Linked DNA regions of Pelodiscus sinensis. The protein of the gene in region 2 binds, or shares a complex with, the protein of the main gene of each other region. Links are inferred from orthologs where the notes say so. Each region holds a gene or a part of one and is shown on either strand. Other genes may lie near its edges.

What was found.
Region 1: BDP1 (region 2) and BRF2 share a complex: the UniProt entries of both Homo sapiens proteins name them as parts of the TFIIIB complex. The link is inferred for Pelodiscus sinensis from reciprocal best matches to the Homo sapiens genes BDP1 and BRF2.

Annotation. Positions count from the first base shown.
Region 1 is NC_134738.1:15,024,673-15,040,214, reverse strand, and holds the start of BRF2 (transcription factor IIIB 50 kDa subunit), read left to right. Parts: upstream 1-8,924; 5' UTR 8,925-8,930; coding exon 8,931-8,951; intron 8,952-9,788; coding exon 9,789-9,951; intron 9,952-12,917; coding exon 12,918-12,977; intron 12,978-13,629; coding exon 13,630-13,951; intron 13,952-14,138; coding exon 14,139-14,850; 3' UTR 14,851-15,542. UniProt on the Homo sapiens protein: General activator of RNA polymerase III transcription. Factor exclusively required for RNA polymerase III transcription of genes with promoter elements upstream of the initiation sites.
Region 2 is NC_134716.1:81,684,118-81,699,438, reverse strand, and holds the start of BDP1 (transcription factor TFIIIB component B'' homolog), read right to left. Parts: upstream 5,697-15,321; 5' UTR 5,466-5,696; coding exon 5,239-5,465; intron 1,806-5,238; coding exon 1,262-1,805; intron 1-1,261. Other genes in the region: SERF1B (small EDRK-rich factor 1), read left to right, coding at 8,095-8,101, 11,122-11,230. UniProt on the Homo sapiens protein: General activator of RNA polymerase III transcription. Requires for transcription from all three types of polymerase III promoters. Requires for transcription of genes with internal promoter elements and with promoter elements upstream of the initiation site.

The DNA.
Region 1 (15,542 bases), on a different chromosome or scaffold from region 2:
TAGTCAGAAGTTTTCCACCTTTCTTTCTGGTAGGCTGTAAATATTTTCTCACCACCTGGGAAGCACTGTTAAAGAAACTGATTGTAGGCTTGAGATTCATGAGGCTCTGAAGGTTTTTTTTAAGTCTTTTCTCAGTGAGACACTAATGGTTCTTGGCTTTTGAATTTCTGTAATTTAGTAGTACTGAGAATTTAGCTTAAGGGTTGGGGTTTAAAAACTGAACCATGTTCTCAATCTGAGAAACAATAGTTCTTAAATATGATTTAAGTTGTGCAATATAAGTCATCACATACACTAATCCAAGCATTTGATTGCTGTGTTCAGATAATTATATTACAGAAGTTGGAATGCTCTCCAGAAAGAGGTTTTGGTAACCATAAGTGGCCTTATTCTAAATCTGTAAAATTGGACGGCATTTAAATCTACGTGAAAATGTGATTTGTACTAGCCAAGTGCCTGCCTCTCATTTTGGGAAGGGAAGTGCCAAGCCTGTGTAAATCTAATGGTGAAAAATTCAAAGCGGTGCTCTGAGCAGACTCTTCAATGCAACAAAAATCAAACAAAGTTGCACTTGCCATCTTCCTAGAGGATTAAAGAACAGGTATGAAATATAGACCATGTAGTGGTCTGAATTGGGAGCTGTTTTGTTTCATAGCCATCGTATTCCTGATTTGAAGGTGGTGGTTCAAACTGGGGGGCAAACAGCGCCACACAGTTCACTCTGTATCCTGTATAAACATGTATGCACCTGTGTCCCTTGTGGTATAGGTGCTTAGTTTGTTTATGTTGCTATGCACAGCAAGTCATGTGATGACTTTTATATTGTGCCACTCAAGATCAGATTTTCAAACATGCTGTATTTGGGAAACTAGGATGTATGTAGCTGATTTGTATGAAACCTACATTGGGTAAATATGTGGATAAAGTAAAAGGCATATGTGACATGGTTCTCTTAATAAAGGAACATTCAAATGGTGTCTTAAAAATGTCTAGTTCCCTGTAATAAGATGTGGTTGAGAATGTTAGAATAAGTTTTATTTGAAGTGTAATTAGAAGACATTGTGCTGCTATTCTGCAAGATAATCTGATACCTCTGTCTGAATCATTTGCCTTAGTCTGCTGTAATTATGCAGTGTGCTATGGGATATGCATTTCTCATGTATATCTGATAACAAACAGCAAGACACCAATAAACAATCATTTTAGAAGGCTTACTCCAAATCATTCTTTTAGGATAGCGATGATAAGAATCTTCAGGAAAATTCAGCACTTTGATGGAAAGTTGTGATTTGTATTCAACATTAATTTGTATCCACACTTAATGTTGGGACTGAATCTTTTTTTTTTTTTTTTTTTTTTGGTGGCAAGCGCTCAATTTTAACATCTGTGTCACAGCTCTCAAATTGGCTTCTTGAAGGCAGAGAGGGTTAGTGATACAATATTACTTTTGATAATCTGTTTTAAGATCCAACATGTATTGTGAAACAATAAAAACAACAACTCTACCCTTCATCCAGGTGAAAGGTTCCATTAAGTCTTCCCCAAAGTTGAGTGATGATTCACCCATAGTTTAGGAGGGCACAGTTTCACAGTATTCCTTACATTAGAGCACTTTAATGACAGGTGAGACTAGTTGAATTTCCTGTTAAGACTTTTATTAGTCTAACATTCAATAGTTTCACAAAATGCTGGAGACTACTGTACATTTTTCTCAGATGCTGTATTTTGTAGTAAAACCTAATTTATTTTAATAAAAGAAATGTATGTTTACTGGAATCAGTATGAATGAATATATATGCTGTTCTGTGTATTTGTAAAGACTGACTTGTGATTATAAAAGTTCTGTATAAGTAAGGCTTAACTTCCCTATCATACAAGGTTCCTTCAAGGAAAACCATAAATGAAATAACTCTTAATACTATGAATGAAAGATTTAAGGTTTGTAATGTTCCTTTTAGGGCCTCGGGTACTTAGTCGTAGTAATGAGTGTTTGAGCAGATGACTTCAGGTCAGGGGTAAGTTTCCCTATCCCAGACAATATGCATGCAACTAGCTATCTTCCACTGAAAATGACAGCTGCTTGTGCCTTGAAATAGTGTGGAAGAAGAAACATCAGTTTCAATTGCCTCTATGCTACTGAATTGTAGCTGTATCTCACTTTACAAAACTGCCTTCAGGACTTGATTCCATAGCTTGCCAACTGTATGAGAGCTGTGGAGATCTCTATTCTTTGGTGCCTTTTGAGCAGTAGCTAAACATTCTGAATTTGAAACTGGTGTTATCATAGTGGTTGGACTTGCTTTATATTCTAAACTAATGTGAACTAATCCAATGAGCTGAAGTGATTTTTTTTAAACAGTTGTACTCCTGTTGTGGTATTAAGGTACACCTCCAGCAGCTGCAGCCATTGTTAGTAATATTGCACCTGCTGCTTTAGGGAAAAATACTTCACAAAGATGTTTATCATTAACCAAATACATTCTTATCTTGAGAGAGCTTTAACCCTATGGTTTTAATATTTGCTGATAACATTCCACTTACAGTTCTGATGTTCTGCTTCCAAAATGGGACCATAGAATTTTATTGGGGTCTTTTATACCAGTTGTAGCTTGGAGTCTGTCGGCCAGAAGGTTATTTGGTTGCTCTTACACACTGAGGCTTGATCTCTTGGTTGCAATCTGGTATCTCTCGTTTACTGATGAGATTTGGGCACTGCCAGGAGAGAGAGTGGTCCTTTGCAGGCCATTCTGCTACTTGATTAGCTGTAGAAAAAGTTGCACAATCTTATTGTACCTTGAAATGTTCATTGGCAATGTTGTTTGAAGGGTTTTAGTATACAAAGACTGGACATTTTATTGAGCCAAGGTATTTAATATGAATACTCATAAGATTATAAAGCTTTTTTCCCCCCAAACACCTGTACAGTTCCTTATTGAATGTTTAATATTGAAAGATCCAAATGTATTTTTATGTTTATATTTTCTGCTTTGTTAGTTTGGGTACTTCTTGGTTTTAAAACTGACATTCTCTTTTATGGAACACTAAAATAAAAACTTTTAATTCAGTGTTTGAACACTCTTGGTTTTTTCACTGGATTCTGAAAGTGCTAGAAAATGCACAAGGTAGAATGGAGAGACCTCAATGTAATGGACAAATTGCTAATGCATATAGTTTGGTGAACTGTTCTGCAGTGGCCCTGCAGAGTGGAATAAATCTTTTCCATCATAGAGAAAATTGCATTAGCTATAATCTCAGTAGTTCCTAAAGCTTGCATGGTGAAATCATTTTATGCCATACATGATTGCTTACAGTGTACCCGAGCCTCCTATGGTTAAGGCTCAACGGCTGAAGTGAGAGAAGCTGGGAATATAGGTAACTTAATGTCAAAGGATAAAACAAGGAGGTGAAACTGGCTTACCATTAAAGACAAATGTTGTTTGTGTGCTACGAAAAGAAGATGTTTAAAATGTAATGTAGTATCTCCAGGCAATTCCGATTCACAGACATATGGTCCTCAAATTTTGGCAGCCAGTTCATATTTTCTGCGTGTTCAGACAGTGAGTCTCTGCTTGGCAAAATACCCGCACTTGATAGTTGTCAGCAGAGGATGCTTGATATAGTGATGGGACACTATCTTTCCTTTCCAGCTGAAGTAAGTTAAATTGGTAAAAAAAGCTGGGCTGATGTTCAAGAGAGAAATCCACTTCGGAACAAGTGCAATGCAGCTGGGGCAGGGCAAACTTCTTGTGCTCTGTTCTGGCCCTGTGCCCCAGTTCGCCACTCTAGAGCTGAGAAGGCAGTTACATCTTCAAGGCATTTTCAGTGATTGATTCTGCCAACTAAGTCTAGCCATGATGTTTTTCATGTGTATGTCTCTTTATTGGGAATTACACAGGATGCTAACTCTACAGAAGCCAAGAGAAACAATGTTAGGTTATAGTAACTGGGGCTCGATATGCACAAACTACAAGTATAGCCATTACCCTGTCCTCTGAGCCAGCTAGACACTGACTGCAAGTTGAGGCTCTCTTGTCTGGCAACATCTCTGGTTGGCATGATTTTAGTTCGCTGGATGTCCACTTACCATGTGTGTGGCCAAGTTTCCCTACGGTTCCATAAAGTTAATTTACAGCCACCAGTCCTGGCTCTCAATGTTCTGTGCTGTTCAGCTCTAATTTACCCCCTCAATGTCTTGTAAGAGCCCAGCAAGCAGTGGCCATGTTGGTGATGCTGCTAGACTGGGGCGGCCAACCTGAGGCGAGGCTTGCGAAGAAAAAAATTGCAGCTCCTGAGGAAGGGGAGGAGAGGGGGATTGGGTTGGGGGGAGGGTGTGCCTAGCTTTGGGGAAGGGGAGGGGGTGTAGGGTAGAGCGGGGGGGGGTGGCCTGGCTCTGGGGAACGGGATGGGGACTGGGTTAGAGCATGCTTCTTTTCCTCTCCCCTAAACAGCTGGCATGCTTCCTGAAATGCCGGGTCTGTCACACCACTGGGGCCTTTTCTCCCTGCTGCCTGTACGGTGTGTGTCGTCCCCCCCCCCCCCCCCCCCCCGCTCAACAACTTGGTTCTTCATGCTATCTCCACTGCTATTGTGGCTCTTCATCTGGAATGGGTTGGCCACCACTGTGCTAGACAATACTGACCTCCTGCGGTTTGGCAAATTCTCTGGTTTGGCACCAGTCTGGCCCTGAGAGTGCCAGACTAAAGAGGTTCAACCTGGACAATGCAACTTGATGATTTTCCTGTTTATTATTTGTATACCTGATTCGAGGGTGGAGGGGGACAGTTGAAAGACGTAGTGCATTGTGATTCATAGGTTCCCGGTACATTGAGCTTTTCAGGTAGGCAGAAAGTGAGTAGAAAAGACTGCTTACTGCCTGTTCCTCTCCTACTTTGGCTTTGCCTTAGAGTGGGGATACTCAACTTTGGAAGCCCCAAGAGCCACAGTGATGCAGCACATGCTGAGGGCTGCAACGTAAGTGTTGTTGCCTATATCTATCTATCTATATATAGCTTTTCGCACAATGCCCCGGCACTCCCCACACCTCCTCCCTGGGGCTAGAAACACTGACACCCTGTTACCCGTCAGTTCCAGCCAGCCCGTCCTCTTGTATCTTTCAAATGCTCACCCCTCCTGGGAAATGCCTCGCTGTTGTGGAGCATGTTCCCAGTGGAGGCCATGTTCAATGGATCCCACCTGCGGGCCGTGGATTGAGCCCCATGTAAACCCAAACTGCACTGTGGGCCATAAACGGGCGGTATGCAACCCAGGGGCGGCATGTCGAGTAGTCCTGCCCTAGAGGGATGGGAACTGTCACTATCTGCACTGAGTCCATGGTCAACACCCTTTCTACACTGGTTGTCATGCAGTGCTTTGGGCAGTAACTTTCAGATATTTCTCTGTCTCATAGATAGGCTCTGTCGACTTATGCTGCTGAACCATGGGCTGGGAAGCCTGAACAACAAGTTCAGCAGCATATGAAGACTGTGCCTATTTATGCGCTAGAGAGTTACTGCTCAAAGCATTCCATTAGAACCAGTTTCGTAAGGGTGTCAGTCCTTCAGGAGCACTTTAACTGCATTGACCTTTAAATCCTCTTCACTCTTTGGTCAGTGTATCTGGGCAGCAAGAACAAGGTGGGAGAACAATCAGTTTTCCTTTGTCTCAGTCAGATCACTTTGGCCCGATGTATTTGCCTTGTAAGGAGAACTTGCATCCCACCATAATAGCCTCCTTAATATTTCTCTCAACCTCTACTCCCAGGCATTGTTTCCTTCAAGCCATGGATCAAACTAGCTATTAAGGTCCTCTTGCAGTCAGACTGAATGGTTCTCTCTTCTGCCAGGGCCATCAGCAGTAATGCACTAGGAAACCTCGAAGCCAGCACTGAATAGAAATTAACTGATACTTTCAAGCATTTCAACCTTGTGTAGCTCTAATGAGGTATTGTAGTGACTTGGAAGAAAGCTACTCAAATGGCCACTCTCTTGCAGCAGCTGCTTTCACCTGGACTTTGCTGGAGGAGGTAAATCAGAGCTGTCTACATCCTGGGAAGCAGGGTTTGTGGTTTTACTTTCACATGAATTCTCTGTGGCGTAGTGGGGGGCTGTCTGCTCTGTAACCCTGGGGTCTCCCTGTGCTGTGATATGTGATTCCCACTGACTCACCCACATGTGTGTTAACCCAGGCACCTAGGCTCAGCTTGAGGAGATAACGGGATTCCCAGGGGGAGAGAGACAGGGAGAGAGGCGGAGACCAACACCAGGTTTCGGGGGAAGGCAGTTGCTGGCTGCAAAACATGAAGGAAGCAGCCTTAGCTGAGGGTCTTGTGATGATAATGGACCTCCTAATCCAAGGGGTGTGAGGCCTCCTGGTCCTGCCTCCTGAAACAGCATCCCGTCTATGCTGGGCTGTATCCTGGAGGCGCAATAAACCCTTTCTATACGGCTGGTTGGCAGAGTCTCATCTTGCTGCAGACGGGGTGCAGGATCAGGGGGTACTTGATGTGCCACTATATTATTTTACTGTCAGATCACTGCTGATTTGCACTCCATCACTGCTCCGGCTCGAGCAGGAACGCCTTGAATCAACTGTGCAAGGCTCTTCAAGCTCTAGGACAGGGGTGTCCAAACTTTTTTCAAAGGGGGCCAGATTTGAAGAAGTGAACATGCGTGAGGGCCGTCCCCGCACTCTCAGCCCCAAGGCGGAGGGCCCGCAGGGTTGGAGGCGGGCGGAGAGCGCAGGGCACGCCGGCCTCACGGCAGCCCGGGGGCAGGGCGAACCCGCAGCCGAGTGGGGGAGCGGGGCTGCGGATGTGCCCTACAGGGCAGGCTTTAGGACCGCGGAGGCCATGGGCGGCGGCGGTGGCGGCGCGGCTGGAAGCGGCGCGCTGGGCGCGCCAGTTCAAAAGAGCGCCAGGAGAGGGGGAGGAAGCGGGGGCCGTATTAAATCGGAACACGGGCCGCAATTGGCCCGCGGGCCGGACTTTGGACATGCCTGCTCTAGGAGATAGGGTTGCCAGGTGTCCAGTATTTGGCTCAACAACTTTGGTTCCCCCCCCCCCCCCCCTGCTTTTTTTCCCTCAACCAATTTTTTTCCTCACCATGTTCAGTATTTTTTGTGAAACTATCTGGCAACCCTACTAGGAGAGACGGGGAGGAACAGGGTTGGAGCACGAATCAGCGGATTTGTGACACTCCAAAAGTGCTGAGGGCAAGGAGTAGAAGTGCAGGGCCCTAGTGTGCAAGAGGCCCATAGAGGAAGGGGGCAGAGAGGGGGTGCGCAGCTCACAGGCTGACCACCACTAGTCCTGGCGCTCACTGAGGTGGAGGGCTGTTCGTGCAGCCCACTCACTGTTCTTGGTTGCCCTTCACTGGCTTACAGCATGAGCCAGGTCATGGCTTTTGGGTTCTCTGCCTGGGACCTGAGTCAGGCCCTTTGTGTGTTCCCTGTCTCCCATTCTGCTAATGCCCGGACTCAAGCACAGTTCAGTTGCTCCCTAAGGTGTGGCAGCTGTAAATGCAAAGCGAGCGTGCCATCTGCTGGTCGACCCTCCATGTAGCAGACAGCCAACCCATGCCCTCTCAAGATGGGAATAGTGTCTAGACTGTTGAAATTAGAGAAGTATCCGGGGGGGAGGGGTTGCAGGAATTGCTAAAGGATTAACAGGGTACAGGAGCTGCCCTAGATGAACTGCTGGCAACTGGCGCTCTAGGCGAACCACACGATTGGTGTGCGGTCGGTGTCCGTCCCCCCCCCCCAAACCCTTCAACGGCCATTTATCTTGGTGTCCTAGGCGACGGCCTAGTTTGCCTGTATTGACGGGTGCCACGGAAGGGGTAATTAAATGTCAACTACTTGTAAGAGGCGGTATGAGCTTTCATGGGCACAGCCGCTCATGATACCATCTCCATGTGTTGGAGCTCCAGGGGGTAGCCGAGTTAGTCTGTTACAGGAAAACGACAACCAATAGTCCGGTAGCACTTTATAGACTAACAAAACATGCAGATGGTGTCATGAGCGTGCGTGGGCACCGCCCACTTCTTCAGATGACCCGAGTTAGTCTGTTACGGAAAAAAACAACACACGGTCCGGTAGCACTTCATAGAGTAACATGGTCTGTGCGTCTAGAAAGCGCTCCCAGCCCCACTGCTGTTTTCTGTGCAGCTCACTGGCTACCCCCTGCGGCTACCTCTAAGAGGTTTGCCTTCCAGGAGCCAGAAGCTGCAGGGGACCGTGGGTCACAAAGGAAAAGCTGGGATGGGGGGAAATCAGGGGAAAGGTATTTTTAGAGTCGCTTCCCCCTCTCTGCCCATCCCTGGGCTAGCCCGGTCCGGGGGGGCGCCCCAGGCAAAGCCCCGAGCAGGGGCCGGGCGCTGCCCCCCAGAGGTGGCTGCATTGCAGCTGCGGTCACTGCCGCGGAGGAGGAGGAGGGGGGGGGGGCACTGGCACCGCCGCCGGCCGCTTCCCTGCAGCGCCCCCTGGGGCCCGCGCGGCGCGCTGGCGGGCGGAACGCGGGTGGCGGGGGAGCGGCCTCCGCTCGGACGCCGCGGCGCGACGGACCGGAAGTGACGGCGGCGGCCGGGCTCTCCCCGCGGGCAGGTGCAGCGCTCTAGAGCCCCCCCCCGCGCGCCGTGCGCCCGCTCGACTTCCGCTGGGCGAGGTGAGCACGGAGGGGGGGCAGGGCACGCGCCGGGGGGGGCCCGTGGTACCCCCCCATTGTAATGCTAAATCCCCACATGCCCCCCCCGGGACCCCCCAGGCTCCAGTCACCCCGGGGGGGGGGCAGCAGGGAGGCGAGGGGCGGGGCTGGGAGCAGACGGGCACGGCCCCCCCCCCCCCCGTACTCAGCAGATGGGGCCTGGCTGCTCCTCCCCTCCTGGTCCTGCTGATGCGGGGGGGGGGGGGGGGGGGCTCGGCCCAGGCAGCAGCCAATGGCGGGTCCGGTGCGGCGGGTGAGCCCAAGGCGGGGGCAGGCGCCGGTTGGTACCTGGGTGGGGGAGGATCCCGGTTAATCCGTTAAACGCTCGGGCTGTGTCTGCACTGGCGCCACCTTGCGCCAAACCGGCCGCTTTTGCGCCAAAACTTGCCGCCCGTCTACACGGTCCGCGGGTTCTTGCGCAATTAAACTGACGTTCTAATGTATGAAATCAGGGCTTCTTGCACCACAACTCCGATGCTCCCGCTCGGGGATAATCCCTCTCGCGCAACTGTTCTTGCACCAGAGGCCAGTGCAGACAGGCAACATGCGCAAGAAACTTAAGAAAGCCCTACAGTTAAAATGGCCATGGGAGCTTTCTTGCGCAAGAGAGTGTCTACCCTGGCAAGGATGCTCTTGCGCAAAAGCACGTGCCAGTGTAGACGTTCTCTTCTGGAAAAGTTTTTGCACAAGAACTCTTCCACAAAAGAGTTCTTGCGCAAGATCATGCCAGTGTAGACGTAGCCTACATTTAACTGGTTAACTGATTAAGCATGGAATCCCAGCGGAGGATCACTCCTGTCTGCGCGGGATGGGATGGGAGCAGGCTGCTAGCTCCTGACCCCTGCACGGGCTGTTCCTCAGTGCCAATTAACCAGTTACCTGTTCACATCCCTAGTATGTGTGGGAGGGGACCTGTGTTACAAATCTGTACCGGGCCTATAAATATTATGCTTGGTCTGATGCAGTTTAAACCTGATTTTTTAAAAAAACAATTTGTATGGAAAACTTGAAGCCACATGACAAGTTTGAATGAAATGGCTGGGCTTGTACAAAGGAAGAGTTTTGTATCTGGCCCAATTCATATTTGCAGGTTCTCAAGATGTCGGGCCCGAGAAAATGCCCTGATTGTGGCTCCTCTGACATCGTGGACGATGCGCATTATGCTCAGAACCAACTGGTGTGCGCTGACTGCGGGTTTGTTCTCACCGAGGGGCTCTTGACAACCACTTTCCAAGATGAAGAGCATTTACAAGGTCAAATGAAAATTCATTTTAGTTTATAGAAGCATGTCAGAATTTGCAGGATTTATGTTGTCGTGAGGATGTGGAGATAGAGATTTTAAAAAACTCCAAACCTACAGCTCTGAGTAATGGGTATTATTTTAATCAAAAGTCTTTTTTGCCCTAAAAACGGTGTGCAGAAAAAAGAGTAGGAGAGAAACTACTGCTTTAAACTTTACAAGGCAACAAGAACAGCAGTCCTGGACAGATGACTCTTAACCCATGATTCTTACCCCAAATCAGCAAGATTGCAAATTTGACTCCCTTTCCCCCAGCTGTATTACAGACAACTAGTCTTGGGGTGGGCAGTAATTTTTGATGGGGGGGCATTCCATGATTTAGGTAAATAGTCAAGGGCCATGCTTTTCTGTGGAGGGGTGTGGGATCTGGGATGGAGGTTGGGTGCAGAAGGAAACTCCGGATTGGAGGGTGGGGTCTGAGAGGGAGTTTAAGTGAAGGAGGAGGTTGTGAGTTGGGGTAGGGATTTGGCATGCAGAGCCCAGGAGGGGTGGGGGTGCAGGAGTAGATTTTGACTTGGGGGGAGGCGTGTAGGAGGATGGTGCAGGGTTTTGGAGGGAGTTGTGACCTGGGGGAGGAGGGATGCAGAGGGTTTGGGTGGTGATATGGGACACAGGATTGGGGATCAGCAGGGAATGGGGTGCCAAAGGTAGGCTCCCTGGACTGTGCTTACCTTAGGCAGCTCCCAGCCAGCAGCCCAACAGGGGCCTGAAGACAGGCTCCCTGCCTGCTGCAGCCCCAGGCTACTCAAAACAACTGGAGGCTTCCTCCATGTGACGCCCTGTGCTTCGTGCTCCTGGGCTAGGTCTGCACTAGCATGATTTTCCGGAAATGTTTTTAACGGAAAAGTTTTCCGTTAAAAGCATTTTTGGTAAAGTGCGTCTAGATTGGCAGGATGCTTTTCCGGAAAAGTACTTTTCCCGGAAAAGCGTCCGTGACCAATCTAGACACGCTTTTCCACAAAAAAGCCCCGATCGTCATTTTCGCGATTGGGGCTTTTTTGCGGAAAACAGTACTGTGCTGTCTACACTGGCCCTTTTCTGGAACAGTTTTCCGGAAAAAGACTTTTGCCCAAACGGGAGCAGCATAGTTTTTCCGGAAAAGCACTGATGATTTTACATTAGATCGTCAGTGCTTTTCCGGAAATTCAAGTGGCCAGTGTAGACTGCTGGTAAGTTTTTCCGGAAAAGTGGCTGATTTTCCGGAGTAACTTGCCAGTGTAGCCACAGCCCCTGTGTATGGTGGGGGGGACACTTTGTGCAGTGCCCCTTCCTCCAGGCCAATCATCACAGCTCTCATTGGCAGCGTAAAAAGTCCCCCCTCTCCTCTTCTCCCCGCCCCCCTCCATTGGGCATGCCTTAAGGGAGCCGCCAACCGTTTTGAGCAAGCTAGAGCCTGCCTTGGGGTCTCAGTGACCTGTGGGCCAGATCAAAAGGCTTGGTGAGCCGGATTCAGCCCACGAGCTGTATCTTGCCATCCCTGCACTAGTCCTGCTTAGGGGAGCTCCTGCAAGCTTCTCTTGCGTCTCTAGTCCTGGTTTTAACTTGTGCTTCCCCAGCCTACAGGGACATTGCTTTGGCTGTCTGCTGTAACATTCTGCTCCTGTTTGTGTGAAAATGCCAAAATATAAAATTGTGACTTTTTTGAAAATGGACTCACTCCATCACCTTTCGAAGGAAAATAATCCTGACATAGCAGCCATGAAACCTGCCCTTGAGTCGTATGAGACACAAGCAGGTTAAAAAATCATTCATTAAAAAACAAACGTTCTTGCCTTTTGTTGCAAATAGAATCCTGGATACTATGGGTTTGTTTAGCTGAAAATGAAAATACACCGATCAGTTTCATTTTCTGACACTCATGCTGCAGTGAATACTGTGATGTTTGTATTACATCAACTGCAGATTTTTCTTACATAAGAACGGCCCGATGGGGTCAGACCAAAGGTGCATCCAGCCCAGTGTCCTGTCATCTGACAGTGGCCAGTGCCCGGTGCCCCAGAGGGAGTGAACAGAACTGGGAATGATCAAGTGATCCTTCCCTGTCACCCATCCCCAGCCTCTGGCAGAGGCTAAGGACACCATTCCTGTCCCTCATGACTAATAAGTATTGATGGGCCGATCTTCCATGACTTTATCTAGATCTTTTTTGAACCCTGTTAAAGTCCCGATCCTCACAACATCCTCTGTTTAAAACAGGTTTACTAGGAATCTTTAAATATGTCCTGGAAGCATTTCTATTGGGCTGTAAAGATTTTGTACAAGATTATCGTTTACAAATGTACATTTTAAAGCAAAATTATTCTGACACAAATACCCATGTTGCTTAAAGGCAAGTGGCTATCATCAGTATCATCTTGCTCTCTTTTGTTTCATAAACTTTATTTGCAGATTTCATTGTTGACTCCCTTAAAGCAGGGTTGATTGTGAGGAGGATTGTGTTTATGCTATATAGATTAACTGGATCAGATATGTACTATGTGTAGCTCTCCTTTCCCCGAGGTGAGGAATCAATGATCCACATGAGTTGTGGCAGAAGATCTCGAAGAGCTACAGTGTAGCAGGCCTCAAGCTCATTTATGAAAGAATTTCTGTAGTCACTGCAGTAGATCTATTTATATTGTAAACTGGCAGCAGCGCCCTTTGCTGGCAAGTTACAGAGAATCAAAGACTCCAACCATGAAGACTGAACACAGTTCACCCTAGAGAGTCTGTCTTTTAGTTCAGGATTGAGGCAGAAGGCCTGGGGCAAGCTTGAGAGAGTCTCCACTGTTGTCATCTGTGGTGCCTATGCTGTGAGCATAAAGAGAATTACCAGCTTTGGAAATTGAAATCTGGTGCCTGCAACTGCCCCAATCCTAGCTCTCGCCCTCCTCTCTATGCTGGAAATGACTGCCTTGCCTGGTGCTTCTTGTTTTCCAGAAGTGACGTATTCACGGAGCACTGGGCAGAATGAGCAGCTGAGCCGCTGTACGCAACGAGGTGAGAGCTTTTTTTGACTGTTCCTTTCTTGCCGCACTGAGCCGCTGGCTGGCTCAGAAGAGACACGTCTCAGACTGCGCCATCTCCTCCTCTTCCTCTTCCTCTTCCTGAAAGCCACAGGGAGCCTCTGTCTTTTCACACGCAGCTAGTTCTGAGCCCTGGGGGGACCATTGGGAAAACTTCCCCTGCTGCATGAAGAGAAATGGGCTAACGTTGCCGGGTGCAAAGTATCAGAATGAAGTTGCCCCACTGCCGTGCTGCTCCCGCCTGGCTTTGGCTGAGTGCTGTGGTACCATGGGGAGGCGCGTTCCAAGAAACGTTTTGTGCAAATGTTTAAAATCCTGTTTAATTGGCTAACCGGTTAAACCAGTTCACCGATTAACGAGGACATGGGTGGGGGCTGCTCCAGCCCCACTGCCTGTTAAGCTGGGGTGTAGCAGCCCTCATCTCCCACTGCAATCAGATGCTGCTAGCGCCCAACCAGACAGCCTCTGCCTGTGGGGTGTCCAGGCTCCCCGTGGACAGAGGCTGCTCCGGACGACCAGCATGGCCTCTGGTTGGGCCATGAGCATGGCCGTAGGCAGGGAGCTGCAGCCCATCGGTCAACCGCCTCCCTACGAATGTTAAAACGTAGCCTGGTGCTTTCCCACAGGGATCAAGCGTGTCCAGGATCTCTGCAAAGTCCTGCGTCTCCCGGCGGTGTTTGAAGACACAGCCCTGTCCTATTTCCAGCGAGCAATTAAGCACCCCTCCTTCCACTTGGTCCGCTTGGAGAAGAAGGAGATTCTGGTGGGCTGCTGTGTCTTTGTGACCTGCCGGCAGCACAACTGGCCCCTGACCATGGGCACGATCTGCTCCCTGCTCTACGCAGACAAGGAGCTGTTTGCCAGCGTCTACCTAGCTGTCCTGAAAGAGCTGGAACTGGACGTGCCAGCCCTGAGTCTGATGGATCTGGTGAAAACGCACCTCAACAGGTAATGTGACCCCTGGGGGGTGTTAAGGTGTTTCTTTGGGTAAAATGGACAGTGTGTTTGGTAGGCTCCTGGTCATTCCGGACATCACCCCTCCCCTTGCAGCAGATGGACTTACTGATCTGACGGCTTCCTGCTCGCCAGTCCCCAGTGCCGCATGATAGCTAACGGTCTCTCTTTGCTCTCTCAGTTTCAAGCTGTTCCAGAGTTCAGCCAGCATCCCTGCCAGATTTGCCGAGGACAAGGACAAGATGGTTGCCCGGACAATCCAGATTGTGGAGCTGGCCAGCGAGACCTGGCTGGTGACCGGCCGGCATCCCATTCCCATCGTCACGGCTGCTGCCTACCTGGCGTGGCAGTCGCTGCAGCCCGCGGGGCGCCTCAGCTGCCCCTTCCCTCGCTTCTGCAAGCTGGCAGGCACCGACCTCCCACCGCCGGCCCACCTGAGGCTGAAGGAGCTGAACGACATCCTGCTGAGAATGGCCTCCCAGCTGGCCTGGCTGCGTGTGCTCCAGGTGGACAAAAAGACTGTGGTCAAGCACATCGGGGACCTGCTCCAGCACCGGCACTTCCTGGTGAAAAGCTCCTTTAGCTCGGGAGACGCTGAGGCTTCCAGTGCCACCGCAGCGGGCCAGGGCTCTGAGAGTTCCCCGCGTGTGGCAGGGTGCGCTGGCCAAGCGGAGGGCTGCCCCCCGGGGGGCAAGCAGAAGAGCAGCACTGGCCAGAGGCCTTTGCTCCCACCGTGCCTTCTCAACCCCAGGAAGAGACTTCGCACAGCAGCCCCGAGTCCTGCGGAGCAGGCAATCACTGGGGATGAGGCCATTTCAGACAGCGAAATAGAGCAGTACCTGCGGAGCCAGGAGGAGATGCGGGAGTTCCGCAAGGCCCAGGCCCGGCACTGAACTGACCCTCCCCCCAAGCGCAGCCCAGCTGTCTCTGCTGGCTGACACTCTTCTCATGGGAGAAATCGGCTGTGCTGGGGGGAGGCGTTGTCGTTAAATGGCAGCGTCTCCTCGTTCTGCTGGGGCAGAAACAAGCCACCCGAATGGCTTCGTGAGCAGGACTTGCACAGGGAACCGGTTCCGGGTTAGAAATAGCCATCCTGGCTGCCAGACGCGCCGGTGGGACTTGCTCTTACCAATTCACAGTGAGTTCCTGTGTTGAAAGCCAGATGGTCTCCAGCATCGCCCGGTGCTGCCTTTACGCCTGAGTCTGCGTCTGTGCGCTCAGCCAAGGCGGCCGGAGCCTGGGTAAGTGGGTCTAGCTTGCCTGTCCGTAGAAGCATTCGGATTCCTTGCGGTTGTCTCCGGGTGGGACACTTCCAGTTTGGCAAAAGGGCTGCGGCTGCGGCTGGGGCTGATTGCTTTGCCTTTCCCAGAGTCATTTGCATGAGGCAGATCCCTGCATGGGTCAGCCAGTGCGTAGCTCAGGACGGCTCCGTGCCACCCAAGCTCTGGATGAATTCTCCTCGGCTAAGACTGGGGCTCTGCATCAGCCTGTGGCGGGGAGGAGTAACACTGGCCCAGAGCAGCCCCGGCTAGCCCCCTGTGGTGGTTGTGACGGAACAGAGCTGCCACTCTCCTTGGCTGTGACG
Region 2 (15,321 bases):
CCCCCTCCCCCCCAGCAGACCAGGCTTTTCTCGCCGACGCCTGGGGTAGAGCAGCTGGGGGGCTGCCGGGTTGGTCCCACAGCGCCGAGCTGTGGCACTACTGGACCAACCCAGCAGCACCCCAGCTGCTCTGCCCCAGGCGTCCCTAAGTCAGCTGCTGTTGAAACTGACCAGCAGTGGCTGACTTGGGAGCACCTGGGGCAGAGCAGCTGGGGTGCTGCTGGGTTGGTCCAGTAGCGCCGAGGAGTGGCGCTGCAGGACCAACCCAGCAGCACCCCAGCTGCTCTGCCCCAGGCGTGTCCGATTCAGCTGCTGCTGGTCAGTTTCAACAGTGGCTGAATCTGGACGCCAGTTCCGACTTACATACAAATTCAACTTAAGAACAAACCTACGGTCTCTATCTTGTACGTAACCCGGGGACTGCCTGTATTTCCACAGGATTGCAGCTGCTGAGTTCTCATATAAATGATAGATTCAACTTCTAAAAATGAACTGTTAGTTAAAAAATAGTTAAAAGCACTTTTAGATAACTATGAATGCTCCTGACCTGCTATTGTGTGTGGCTTTTTTCAATTATTGTTGTTGGCAGTGAGAATAAGGACTTGTTATAGTATATGAAACCATTTTTTTAAAAATTAATTTTCAAGTTGATTTAGCCACCTAAAGGAAAACTGCTGCCTTTTGTCCCCTTCTTATATTTGTCTTCTTTATTGAAACATACAAATCTTACATTGTGCTGCTCTACTCTGTTTTCATTAGACTCTCATGAGGTTGAATAGTTATTAAATGTTAACATCCTCAAAAAATAACCAACATTCACCATTTTACAGTTGAGCTAATAGAACAATAGAAGTGAAGTGAGCTGTCCAAGGTAACAGAACTGAGTCAACGAAGTTGACTACATAACAAAAAAGCCAAGTCCTCATCCCATCTGCTGTGATTACTAATTATAAAAGTATATAGTAAAAACAAATCAGCATTCTGACTGACATGTTAGCTGGGGTCTTCAGATGAAGGTCCACTAATAGAACCGCCCCATCACCATCTTAAAAAAAATTATCAATTTTATACCAAAGAACACTCACTCCTTGTGATAGTATAAGAGCTACTACACCCTGCACAGGTTGCCAGTACAATGCTGCTGACATCACAGTCGCTTTAAAATAGCAGAACATACTGGAATTGACCCACAGGGACCTGGCAAATGTTGATCCCCTTTTCCGTTTCTGATCTGCCCCAAGTGCCAAAAGCAGGACCTTACCATCTTCTCTTTCTTCAGCTCTTCTTTGAGCATCTCTCTTAACTTCTGAGCTTTGAGGATTCTTTCACGGTCTGAGCACTTTTGTTTATTTTTTGTTAGAGGTGGTTTTGTATGTGGCATTTCCCCCTGTGTGGGTCTCCCTTGGGAGGGTCTCTCCTTGAGAGGGCACAGTGAGTTCTTCTGGAGAACTTCATCATTTTTTAGAGCACTTACACTCACATTTGGCTCTCGGCTCACTGATTTTTTAAGTGGAGAAAATTGTGGCACTTGTGGGACAGGTGTTTTCTTTTCAGGCAACATGGGAGACTTTGGAGAGCATTCTGCATTGGTCTTTTCTGATTCCTTCTGAAGTGAAGAGTTACCATTAACAGAAGACTGAGGTATTTGTTTTTGAGAAGACTTTGATACTGAACGTTGTGCAGATGGAAGTGTAACTCTGGGTTTTGCCAGATTAGGCATAGTGGATATTCGTTTTCTTCTCTGTAAGGGTGTATCTGCAGGTTTTTTAACTTCGTCATCATTTGCACCACCAGTCTTTTCATCTCTGTAGAAAATTAAAACATATTTTACTCTAATCCTTACAATCATAGTTTTGCTACTTTTAAGATGGCATTGAGTGGAGTACATCTAAAGCCTAAATACAGTACTAAAGAAAAAATATTACTATTTGAGAACCTTACCCAAGAACCCATATTTAACCAAACCAAAACACATTGAATGCTGCCTTGTACATTAAGAAAATATTCAATCTTCCAAAAATAAGAGTCCTCAAAACAGTATTAAGTTCATAGCAGTTGTGATTAACATTTAAGTAGTCAGACTCGTTTTTTTATGAAATGCTCTTTACCTTCAGTCTCACCATACCTGGTGATCTATAAGTGTAATAAAATACTGGAGAATAGTTAATGCCCAAAATTGAAATTGTATAAAAGTGTTTAATAAAATCAGATGTAACAACTGTTTTTACAATTTTAGATGTCAGGAAAAAGTCTTAATTTAATCAAATTCCTCTGCAGTATTTGCAACCCAAATATATCACTATGTAAATGCTTAAAACCCTGAGTGAAACTGACAAGAAATCACTCAAGTTTCACTGTCTATCTATACCAAGTATAGTCAGCAGCCTTTCCTAGGTGAGTACGATTTTAAACTTTTATTTAAAATGAAACTATATTTTTCAACACTTCAAGTTGCAAAGACAGTATTCCCAACACAAACCAAAGTGCAAACCAAAGCACTGTTATCTTCCTAACTCTGCAGACCAGTCCAGTGCCTCAACTGCTGATCATTGCTTGGTCAAGATACAGCAGCAGGGACATTAGATAGTGTGTAATTGAATAGTGCTGTAATCACATTAAATAGCTACATGACTATTCGATAGTCCCTGGGGACAGGGCTGGAGTCAGTGTACTCCGACTCCACACCCACAAAGTCCCCTGTCACTGCAAGCAGCACAGGTTGGCAGGCAGGAGCTTCTTTCGAGAGGATATGGTTTAAAAAATGATCCCCTGCACAGACAAGTTCCTGCCTGCCACCCTGTGCTTCCGTACCAGAGACAGCAGCATGGGGCAGCAGCAGCCTTTATCAGAGGCAGCAGTGCAGGGATGGGGGGTGGCAGGCAGCTCAACAGAATCTGGTACTCGTGGGGAGCCATCTTAAAAGCTGACTCCTCACAGGCACCAGCTCCTGCCTCCCCCAACCTTGCTGCCTCTGATATGCGGGGAGGCGAAATGCATGTAGTCAACGGGATTAATTGATAAGCCCAGGCTTATTGGTTAATTGTGTAGTCATCTACACATTGACATCCCTATACAACAGTGGTGAATGAAAAGATTTTTTTTTTTATTAAGACTTGTGCACTTTTTGTGTTTCTGAATGATCTATAAAGGAGGCCTGGAAGGTTTGTCCCTGGTTGTATTTTTAACTTTCAAAGTATCAGGAATGTCAAGTCTGAATAAAAAACAATTCCATAAAATGTCAGGTATATTTTTCAAACTCTGAGCTAAAGTCATTTAGACACTTTAAAATGGACAAAGTACTAAGTGATTTTAATCGAGACTGTTTCTTTAACTCTAGGTGTAAATCCAAGAAAGCGTTGTTCATCCTAATTCATAAACAGCCACCAAAATTGTGGTACATAAAACTGTTTTCTGCTGTTTATTAATGCCCCTCCTCAAATTAGGGATATGAACAAGTAGTCGACTAGTTTCTTTCCCCCACCCCTCCTTGCTGCCTCTATCAGAAAAAGGGTGCTTCAAAGCAGCAATGCCACATGGAGCCCAGAGCCTGCCACTTTGAAAGACTGTGTGTAGCCCAGGTCTTCAGCTGGCCCCGGGCTGCATTTGGCATTTCAAAGCAGCAGTGCTGCATGGAGCCCAAGGTCAGCACTACTGCTTTGAAACACTGCATGGAGCCTGACACAAATTGCATCAACTATTCGATTAGCCCATTAATTTAAATTTAACCTCCCTACCTCAAATTTCAGTGTTACACGACTAGAAGCAGTATACTTTTCTTACACTGTATGCTGATGACCTCCACCATTGATTTCAATGGGAACCATGCAAATCAAAAGCAATATCTAGTCACAGATTTAATCATCGTTACAGTTTCTAGTGCTCTATGTTTGTAAGGTGTGATAGAAAAGCAGATATGATAACTTCCTAGGGGCTACTGATATACTAATAGAAATAGGTTTGTACTTATAAAAAAGAAAATTATTCAGCCCTTGGGAAATCAACACTAAACTCCAAAGTACTAATTTCAACCATAAATATTAAAGTTGCGGCCCAATCCAGCATTGTTTTCCACCTAAGAGAACCCCTGAACCTAGGCAGGTATCAGTTTACTTCAGGCTCTTCTACACGATGTTTATCATTGCAAGATTGGAGACTATGATATAAAGTAATAATATATATGTACAAAAGATACCTATAGACTAACATTTCCCAAAGTGTGGTCTGCGGCCCAGTACTGGTCCTACTGTTAGAAAAGGAATACTGGTCCTATTAAAAAACGAATACCAGTCCTTAGAAAAATTATCGCGCACGATCCTATTAATTTGTGTGATGGGGTAACAGCACTCCGCGCAGCTGAGCGCAGCAGCGTGGCCCTCTTGGGAGAGAGCCTGCCACTGCGGCGTCTCTGCCAGGCATGCTCCCGAGTGGTGGGGCTAGATCTGGCGGGCACTAGGGCACAGAGAAAAGGCTGGGTGCTGTGCACACCAATGCAGAACGCCCAGCACCAGACAGCGCTGGCCAATAAAGCGGCCGGGATTTGGGTCGAGGGGGGTGTGGAACAACCCGCCGGGTGCTGTGTACAGTGATGCAGAATGCCCGGCACTGGACGCAGCTGGGGGAGCCAGCACCGGCTGATAAAGCAGCCAGGATTGGGGCCAGGAGGCGGGGGGGAGAGGCGGAACAACCCTCCAGACAAGTAGGGCCAGCAACACAATTTATTTGCATATTCATCATTTGCTTAATAAATATGCAAATAAATGTTACTGGTCCTCCAAAAGCTTGTGAATGGGTTTACTGATCTCCAATATCAAAAAGATTGGGAACCACTGCTATAGACATTTATTTCTAAACCAAGAGCTGGTATTCGTTGCATTCTTCATAATCTTAGACATAGCCAATAGTGCCCTCTCATCCTGCAGTAATATACATTTCTCAACTTCAAACACAACAAACCCAAGCCAATGAGGGAACCACCTTCAGACAAGAAAAAGGTCTCCTGCAATAAAGGGAGACAAACGCGGAAGAAGTGTTGGGCACTTGACAGCTTCCAAGCACTGGAGCTGCGGTGTGAAGCACAATGTGGAGAGCTGGGGCACGTAGGCTCTTGCCCATGATGGTAAAGAGGCAGCTCCCAGAGCTTTCCAGGCACGGGGAGCCGATAGGAGTGAGTGAGATTTCCAAGCAGCGCCCTCCCGGCTCCCCCTTACACAGCGCGACTGCGCGAGCTGCGGGACTTACCTGCCCGCGGGCTGCTCCCCCTCCGGCTGGGGCGGGGGGTCCGGCCGAGGAGCGGCAGCGGCTTCGGGAGAGGCTGTCGCGCTAGACGGCGGCTCTGTCCTCGCCGGCGGGGACGCGGAATCCTGGCCGCGCTGCGGCTCCGGGGCCGACGGGGCGCTCGGGCCGCCGCCGCCCCTGCCCCCCGGCCTCACATTCGGCTTCACGCTGAGCCGGGCTCGGCGGAACATGGTGCCGGCTGCCCCCGTTCCCTCGCTCGGGGAGGGGGGAGAGGAGCGCTCGGCGCGGCCCGTGACAGCCCGAGGGTCACTCCCGCGCGGCCAGGAAAGCGCTAGAGCCGAACGTCTCGCTCCGCCGGCGCCGCCGCTTCATCTCCCTTGCCGCACACCGGGCAGAGCCTCCCGCACCCCGCCCTGCACAGAGCCTGGCGCATCCAAATGTCATCATCCTGCGACCGGCAAAGGGGCAACCACGCGGCCACGTGACGCGTCAAAAGCCCGAGCAAGTACAACGTCCTCCCCCCCTTCCGTAACCAGCGGAGGTGGCGAACACAGCTAGTAGGACGGAGCGCCGAAAGGGACAAGCTAGCGCTGCGTATCGCGAGTTATAAAGCACAGGTTAACGGGTTACCTGTTCGCATCCCAGTGGGTATGCGGGGGAGGCAGATGCACAGGGGTTCGGTAGATGAGGGAGAAGCTCGTTCCATGGCTGAGGAGCTATGGGGCCAGGAAGGAGACGGCGCACAGCTTCCTTCAGCCAAGGGACATTTCTGGAGGTGATCCTGCTCCAGCTGCTCTTTACAGGGGACGAGAGTCTCCCGTCTGTCCCCCCTACCAGTCCAGATGGAACTAACCCTAAGCCCAGTAGGAGTGACCAGCCGAGCCATTCCCCCCCCCCCCCTCCCCATCATTTACTCCTTACTGGCTGCTCTGGGCACTCAAAACAATGTGCTTGCGGGGTTTTTTTTTTTTCTGGTATAAAGCAGCTTGTAAGTAAATATATTTGAGAATGTCACAGATTTATTAACCAATTCTTATTCTTAGTAAAGTAACTTATCAGAATTTTTTTCTGCTCCTGTTTCTTGTGAGCCACCCTTAGCGGCAACCAAATGGTGCCTTCTTATGAAGTGAAATATGGCAAGGAAAGCTGAGCTGCGTAATTAAAATAATAAATTCTAACAGAGAGAACTACAATAACAGTGGCTTGTTTAGAGTTTGGTTCTATGAGGTAAACTGTGAGTTGGCTCACTGGGAAATCTCATCCTCTAGCTCATGAAGATATTTGTAGAGAATTCCAGCACCAAGTTTCTAACTTGAGCCTGTCCATTTCAACAACCAAGTGTAGATGCAGGCCTTGTGTCCTGTGGTATAACTACTTCTATACAAGTAAATAGTAGTTTAAGCAAGCATTTCCTCACTAATTCTTTCCTTGCTGCTTTTTGTAAATAAAACCCTAGGATGTTGTTTGAGCCATGCGTTAATAGGAAATTATTCTCATTATACTCCTCATTGCAGAAGTAACGGTAGTTACAATTAGGAGCTTTAATTCAAACTACCTAGTCCGTGCCGCGTGTAGCCGCGGGCAGGGAGTTCGAACTACGGGGCATTTAAAAATGGCGGCACCCGGGAACTTGCAAATAAAGCCCGGGATATTTAAATCCCAGGCTTCATTTGCAAGTTTGAATGCCTACATTAGCCACCCTTGTTCAAACTACGGTGGCAGTGTAGACATACCCTAAGTGGGGATGTGATAGAGATCTATAAAATCATGACTGATATGGAAAAAGTTAGTAAGAAAAAGTTACTTATTCCCACAATAAAAGAACTAGGGGTCACCAAATGAAATTAATAGGCAGCAGGTTTAAAACAAACAAAAAGAAGTTTTTGTTCACTTAGCGCACAGTCAGCCTGTGGAACTCCTTGCCAGAGGATGCGGTGAAGGCTAGACCTTTAATGAGGTTCAAAAAAGAGCTAGATAGATTCATGAAGGTTAGGTCCATAAATGGCTATTAGCCAGGATGGGTAGGAATGGTATCCCTAGCCTCTGTTTCTCTGGGGCATCTGGTATTGGCCACTGTCAGCAGAAGCAGACAGGATCCTGGGCTAGATGGACCTTTGGTCTGACCCAGTATGGTTATGTTCTAAACTCTGTAAAAAGAAAAGAAAAAAATGGAACAGAGGAAAACTGCCCAAGTTAGTTTAAAAAATGTTTTGAAAAATTGTTCAGATTTTAAAATAGAGTGAAAAATAGCCATAATGAAAAAGAAGTCAATATGATACTATGATGTAAACAGATAAGTTTGTATGTTCTCCTTATAATACATTTGCCCTTGTTATCTGAACAGGGACTGGGATGTTTCTGTGTTGCTGGGGAGGTATGCATGAGTCTAATTCTGTGTCCAAAGCAGGACCAATCCCAACTAAATCATCCCTGCCAGGGCTTTGTCAAGCCGAGATTTAAAAACCATTTAAAAAATCTTCCGGAATTCGGAGGAAAACGTTCGAAACCACAAGAAGGAGACTCGGACACACCCTGACTATCGTTTGAATGCGCATGTCCACAACCGCAGCACAACAGACTCACTGAAGCCCAGCCTAGCCTCTCAAAGCAGCAGCAGGCTGTACACACAGCTGGTTGCGCATGCGCATTGTTGGCGACTCTCCCACCGCTCGGTGGCTCCTATCTAAAGCTTGGGGATGAGGAGGCGGTATGGTGACGTCTGCATATTTGTGACGCCTAGAGACGTTTCCCTATATAAGGTGCTGAGGGGGCGGCGGAAGAAGGTTCTGGCAGTCGCAGTGCCTGGGTGAAGTGGTTGAGGTTCTTTTCCGTGCGCCGTGGCCGGGATCTTGCCTCGAGATGGCCCGTAAGTATCGGCCTGCCGGCCCCGCGGATGGCTGTGAGAGCGGGGCCCACCGGCTCTGGGGCGGGCCCGTCACGAGGCGCCTCTTCTCCCCGCTAAGCCCTGCAGGCTTCTTCGGCGCCATAGCGGGCCCGTCCACCCTCCAGCGGCAGGAGCGGCCGGGCCCGCGGGGTGGCGGCCTCCCTTTGATCTCCACGGTACCGGCGCGGGTGAACGCGGCGGGCCGGACTTGGGCCCGCTGGCTGTCGCACTGTGACCTGGCTCCCTGGTGACTCCGCTTGTTCCTTTCTGTAAGATGAGTGTTCCTGGAGGGAGACCTCAGTGGCTGTGAAGGTGGGGCCTGTCCCGACGGGGGTCCCCAGCCTGGGCCCACAAATCTCGTCCACCCACCTGTGGATTCTTATTCCTTCATGTGCAAAACAACTTCTATGTGCCCTGAAGTGTGTGACCGTGCACCGCCACTAGCAACCAAGCCTAGCTCCAATCAGCCTGGTAGCATTTACATTTCTGAAGCGCACAGCTTACAGAAGACAGGGGTCCCCACACTCAATGCTGTCCCTGAAGTCAGTCTGACAGGTGTGGGCAGTTTAGAGCAAAGCAGTGTTTTCTCCTGGGTGGACTTTGCAGGGCTGTGTGAGAGCCACTGGTCAGTCAAGCTAGTAACTCAAGTTTAATTGCTGGCTGTCAGGCTAGGAATGTCCTTAAATGGCTACTAACTATCTAGTAGCAACCCTGCTTAATTAATCCCTGTCAGATGGTGTCTTCATTAATTAAGCAAAATAATTGGCGAAAAAGCAAACGAAAACATAAATTGTGCCACAACTAGAAGGTGTTGCCGGAAGCCATATTGCTCAGAATTAGGTGTTGGAGTGCCATTTGACTGTATTAATGGAAAACTGGAGTACACATTATAGTAGTAATTATCAGTGACTTCATTTAAGTTGATAGAAATGTAGCTTGTGTTAGTCTGGTGTAGCTGAAACAAAACACAGGACTATGTAGCACTTTAAACAAGATGGTTTATTAGGTGATGAGCTTTCGTGGGCCAGACCCTCTTCCTCAGATCAAATAGTGGAAGAAAATTGTCAACCATATATACCAAAGGATACAATTACAAAAGAACACCTATGAAAAGGACAAATCAAATTTCAGAACAGAAAGGGGATGAGGGAGGGGGAGGTAAATGTCTGTGAGCTAATGATATTAGAGGTGATAATTGGGGAAGCTATCTTTGTAATGGGTAAGATAATTAGCATCTTTATTCAAACTTAGGTGTAAAGTGTCAAATTTAAGCATGAATGACAGTTCAGAGGATTCTTTCAAGTGTAGTCTTAAAAGGCCTTTGAAGTAGGATGTAGGTAATCAGGTCACTGAGACAATGTCCTTGTCCTTGAAGTTGTCTGTTTTGAATTTCAATTTGGGAGATGTTATATTCAGCTCCCTTTCTAAACCTGTAGCTTGGATTCACTGTAGTAATTCAAGCTTCTGAGAGAACTGGGTTAAGAGCAAACTTTCTCACAAATGCCCTCCAGCCTTAAAAGGAAGCTGTGTAGGCTTATGGCCAGTTAAATGGTGCTCTCAATCTCTTTATGAAGAGATGTGGTGTAGTGGGCACAATTTGAAGCCAGAAACAGGCATGGAGGATGTGTACTGTACCATCTCCTCCAATTCAAAAGTACTTATAAATGTAGATGGGCATGAGTATACTGCTTGTTGACTGTCCTAAAATAGCCATTGAAAAGGCACAGTGGTTCTGGAGACTTTTCTGCTATACTGAGCAATCATAGGGCACATCTGTACAGCAGGACTGAAGCCAAAATAAGCTAAACCACTTGAGCTACTAAAGTTGAAGTAGCTTTCAGCTTTTGGTGCTGTCTACATAGCAGGAAGTCTGAGAGCAGTCTTTCTCCAACTTCTCTTGCTCCTTGTAAAATGAAGGCTACAGGAGTCAGAGTAAGAATTTCTCCAGCTCAATATTATGTCGAAACAACTGCTTGTAGTGTGGGTGAGGACTGGTCTTGTGGCATAACATCAGTTCTGAAATAACACTACTATGTAGATATACCCCTAATGTTCAGTGTGTAACGAACTTACAGGTTTGGCCTGGTATGTGTAAAACTTTAATAATTGGACTAAACTAAACTTGGATTATTTTCATACTTTTGTCCCTTCATAGTGAAATCAACACTTATTGAGAGAGAAAAATCTAAACTTTCCAAACTTACTTCTAACTTAGCGTGAACTGCTTTATATATTGCAGAACTCTTCCATGCCACAAGTCTGCCTGAAGCTGAAGTGCCTAAGAACACTTTTACAAAACATTTAGGGCTGTGTCTAGACTGGCCAGTTTTTCCGGAAAATCAGCCACTTTTCCAGAAAAACTTGCCAGCTGTCTACACTGGCAGCTTGAATTTCTGCAAAAGCACTGACTTCCTACTGGAAAATCAGTGCTTCTTGCGGAATACTATGCTGCTCCTGTTCAGGCAAAAGTCCTTTTGCGCAAAACTTTTGCACGAAAGGGCCAGTGTAGACAGCTCATTTGTTTTCCGCAAAAAAGCCCCAATTGCGAAAATGGCGATCGGGGTTTTTTTGCGGAAAAGCGTCTAGATTGGCATGGATGCTTTTCCACAAAAAGCACTTTTTGCAGAAAAGCGTCCATGCCAATCTAGACGCTCTTTTCCAAAAATGCTTTTAATGGAAAACTTTTCCATTAAAAGCATTTCTGGAAAACCATGGCAGTCTAGACATAGCCTTGGGTGTTTCTACAGGGGAAAATATAAATTCTCTTTGTTAAATTTGGGAAGCTCTAGCACTTCCTTGCTTCATAGAAGTGTTGCTGTTTTGCTTTGCAGAATTTGTCTTGTGAATCTAAACTTGGAGAGAGAAACCTCGAAGAGTGGTTTTAATAATGATTTTTACTGAGTTTTGTCTTGAAGTACTATGTTACTCTGTCAGTATACAATCTTAGAGTGGAGGTAAGGAATGGCAATTGCAACACATATATAAACTTGGATATTGTGTAGGTGGGAATCAGCGTGAACTTGCCCGCCAGAAAAATTTGAAGAAAAACCAGGAGACCCTCAAGGGGAAAAGGAAAGAGGATAGTTTGTCTGCTTCTCAGAGAAAACAGAGGTAAGCTCTAGTACACAGGGAACCGATCAGAAGGATGAGTGATTCTTTAAGCTTTTGTTACAAAAATAAGCAATATGTAAATTGCCTATTTTGAACTTCTGCAAATATTTTTAATTTGCTCAGACTTGGTTTCCCCTCCAGTATTTAGAGTTTAAATCCATCGTGGGTTGATGAGCAGGCCTCAAATGCTTCTGGATTCTACTGCAATCCTTGGTTTTGACTCCTTCCTAAAATGGAAAGTGGCAATAACTCCCCAGCCACTCACTTGAGGTGCCAAAATGGAAGTTCAGTTGCACAGTCTGAATATTCTTTCTTCCTTTTTTGATTTGAGACTGAGTGTAATTCCTGGAAAATAAATTGGCACACATGATGAGACCAGACTTTGAGTACTTGCCTAAAAACAGATGGCGAGTTATATGGGCCGTGTGGTTCTCCAGCACCAGGGATGTTCGTGGCTTGGTGCTAGGTTCCATCAGGACTGCTGCCTGCATGTGTGTGAGAAGGCTCTCCCCCACCCCTGAACTGCCAGAAGGGGTGTCCCATTAAATGTGGTGCACCCATTCTCTGCCAGAGCCTGCACTCTTGTTGTATCAACCCACCAGAGTCCACACCACTACCCCACCCAAACTCCCTTTCAAAGCCTTCAGGTGAGTCATGGGGTGGGATTTGGGGAGTTGGTCCAGAGGCCTCACTTCTCTCCCATTCAGTCTGGGCACCACCAAAATGTTTGCAAACAGCTGTTCCTGCTAACCAAGCAATTAGCCATATCAGCCTGAAGAGCAGTTTTATCTAGTGGACATGAGATACTGTGAATGAGATGTGTTCATGTATGAATTGAGTCCCCTAGCATTCCTCTGAACTGAAAACAAGTGAAGGATTGTAAGGGGAAAAAACAGGAAGAGAAATGCATAACAGGGAAGACAACCTCTTTGAGGTGCATATCAAAGGTTTGCTTGAGTATATTTGAGGGGACAGAAGGGATACTCAAGTAGGGACCCTTCATTGAGAAAGAGAGCCTTCACTTCATTTAAAAGGGGTATCCAGTGGGTTTGGTTGAAAAAAGTAGCCTTTAAAGGCTACTAACTTCCTTACTCTTTGGAAAGCATGTAGTTTTGTTCATTAATTTCTCTAGCTATATCTGATACTATAGTAAAGTGACTGAGTACAGGCAGTCCCCGGGTTACGTACAAGATAGGGACTGTAGATTTGTTCATAAGTTGAATCTGTATGGAAGTCGGAACTGGTGTCCAGATTCAACCGCTGCTGAAACTCACCAGCGGCTGACTACAGGAAGCCCGAGGCAGAGTTGCTCTGCCCCGGGTTTCCTGTAGTCAGCTGCTGGACAGTTTCAGCAGTGGCTGAATCAGGACGCCTGGGGCAGAGCAACTGGGGTGCTGCCGGGTTGGTCCAGTAGCACCAAAAGCAGCGCTGTGGGACCAACTGGCAGCGCCCCAGCTGCTCTACCACAGGGGTCCCGAGAAAAGCCTGGTCTGCTGGGGGGGGGGGGGACACTAGCTGCGCCACCCCCCCCCCAGCAGACCAGGGAGTCGCAGGCAGCGGGACCGAGACGTGCCACGGTCCCGCCGCCCCGGTCCTCCGCCTCTCCCTGGTCTGCTGGGCGCCCCCCCCTCCCCCCAAGCAGACCAGGAAGATGCGGAGCAGCTTTTCTCACCCCGTAGGACACGGGCGGCGGGATAACGGCGCATCTAGGTGTCCTGCTACTCCAGTCCTCCGGGGCGAGAGAAGCCCCGTTTGTAACTGCTGATCCAACAAGTAAGATCCGTGTAACTCAGGGACTGCCTGTATTGGAAACAAAGTTAGTCTTAGTGTTAAGCAAAGTGGTGATTCTAAATCAAATCTTATGAGCTGGTGTGCAGTGTTACTTGGAGACTAGTAATCTTGTAACATTCAGAGGATGGATGCTACAGGAAACACTCCCAGGTATTCAGGCATTTGTGTGTGCCTGTTGCTGCCAGAGGCTGTTGACTTCAGGAGGTGATCCATGTCAGGCAAAGACAAGATTACTTCATGCTAACAGTGGATAGTGATGAGGTGCCTCCCACCCCTGAGTATCTCTTGGGAACCATCACAGTAAATACAATTGGTACTAAAGTAAGATCCAGGCAATATTAAATACCAGCTGCTTCAAATTGAAACTGGTCCAGCAAATCGCTATCTTCAGAGTAAAATTAGGCTCATCCTGTCCAATTAGAGGCACAGCCTCTTGATTTAAAGGGTAACAAGATGAGAAATGCTTTACTTTTGTTACAACCAGATAAGCATTTGTTCTTGATTTTACTGAGAACAAGATTCAGGGTTTATGACCTTAAATCATTTGTTGGGGCTTGATTATTTAATCAATTACATGAACTGACTATAAAATGTGGATTGTGTTTTGAGATCCATACTAAATGGTCTTGATCAGGGTGGGCAATAGGCTGCCAGTGGGCCAGATGTGGCCTGCCAAGCCACCATATCCCTTTGCTAGAACGCTTAGATCAGTTCATGTTTTAGAAAGCCAGCTGTTCTCAGCTCTGCATGGCTGAGAAGGGAAGGAGACTTCTCATGCTATTTCTAGCCCCTCCCCTCCCCCAGCAAAATCTTAGCGCCATTGGCCAATCTGTTTCCCGACAATAGGAACCAAGAACTTTTGCTGGGAGCAGGGTAGTGTGGGAAACCTTCTCCCCCTCATTCCTGGAGTGGAGCAGCAAGCCACCTTCAGCCATAGCCTGCCTCTGGCACCCCAGCCTCTCCCTTCCCCAACTCTCTGCTCTCCTCCCCCCCATAACCAAACCTTCTATCCCCCCATCTCCTGCCCCAAAAGGCCCTCCTAGCTAGGTCACATACCAAAATCCTGCATTCCAGTCCCCTGCCCTAGATCACAACTGCCTCCTTTGCCAAACTCCCTTCCACACCCCAGTCTCCCTCCTGCATACCAGTTGTTTACCCAACCTTCCTTTTGCACCCAACCTCCATTCCAGACCCCACTAATATCCCCCTCCATTAATATCCTGGAAGAGTACAGCCTGCAACCACTCTCCAGAATCTTGGGAGTGACCTCTATGGAAAAACTATTGACAGTGCCTGGTCTTGATGATCAGTTTTCTGCCAATTATTGGCAAACTCAAAATTATAAGTACTTCAGGTAGGGTTTAAATGTTGGTCCTTGATTTCATGTATAGTATGTACCTTCTGCTGTAGCAGTATCGTACTAGAACTTCAGTGTTACTCTGGAAATCTCTCCATAGAGAGAGGTGTATAAAACGCAGGCAAATAGACTTGGTATGTGGGCTAATGCTCTGCAGAGCCATCAGTCTATTGTCCTGATGAGTATTTAAGCTTAGATATTGGTCCACTGTGTGACCCACACAAATTTCTCTAACCCTTCCACACTGTAGGGACACACCTTTACTCAGTTCCTAGGGCTCAAGGTGGAACCCTGTTAATTTACACACCCACCCTTATCCAATTCCTAGGGCTCAGGGCACAACTTCCTGTGGGTTTTGCAGCCGCTGAAAGAGCCTCAGTGATCTCCTTATCCTCTATTTATTGACAATTCCCAAACAAGCAGAATACACGTGCTAAGCACACAGGCTACGTCTACACTGGCCCCTCTTCCGTAAGGGGCATGTAAATTTCAGCAGTCGTCGTAGGGAAATCCGCGGGGGATTTAAATATCCCCCGCGGCATTTAAATAAACATGGCCGCCGCTTTTTTCCGGCTTTTAAAAAAGCCGGAAAAGAGCGTCTAGACTGGCCCCGATCCTCCGGAAAAAGCGCCCTTTTCCGGAGGGTCTTATTCTTACTTCAAAGTAAGAATAAGACCCTCCGGAAAAGGGCGCTTTTTCCGGAGGATCGGGGCCAGTCTAGACGCTCTTTTCCGGCTTTTTTAAAAGCCGGAAAAAAGCGGCGGCCATGTTTATTTAAATGCCGCGGGGGATATTTAAATCCCCCGCGGATTTCCCTACGACGATAGGTGAAATTTACATGCCCCTTACGGAAAAGGGGCCAGTGTAGACGTAGCCAGTGTGTCATTATCACTCTTCCTGATAGATAGGAAGACTTCCCCCCTGTTGGCCAAGCAGGGTCAGT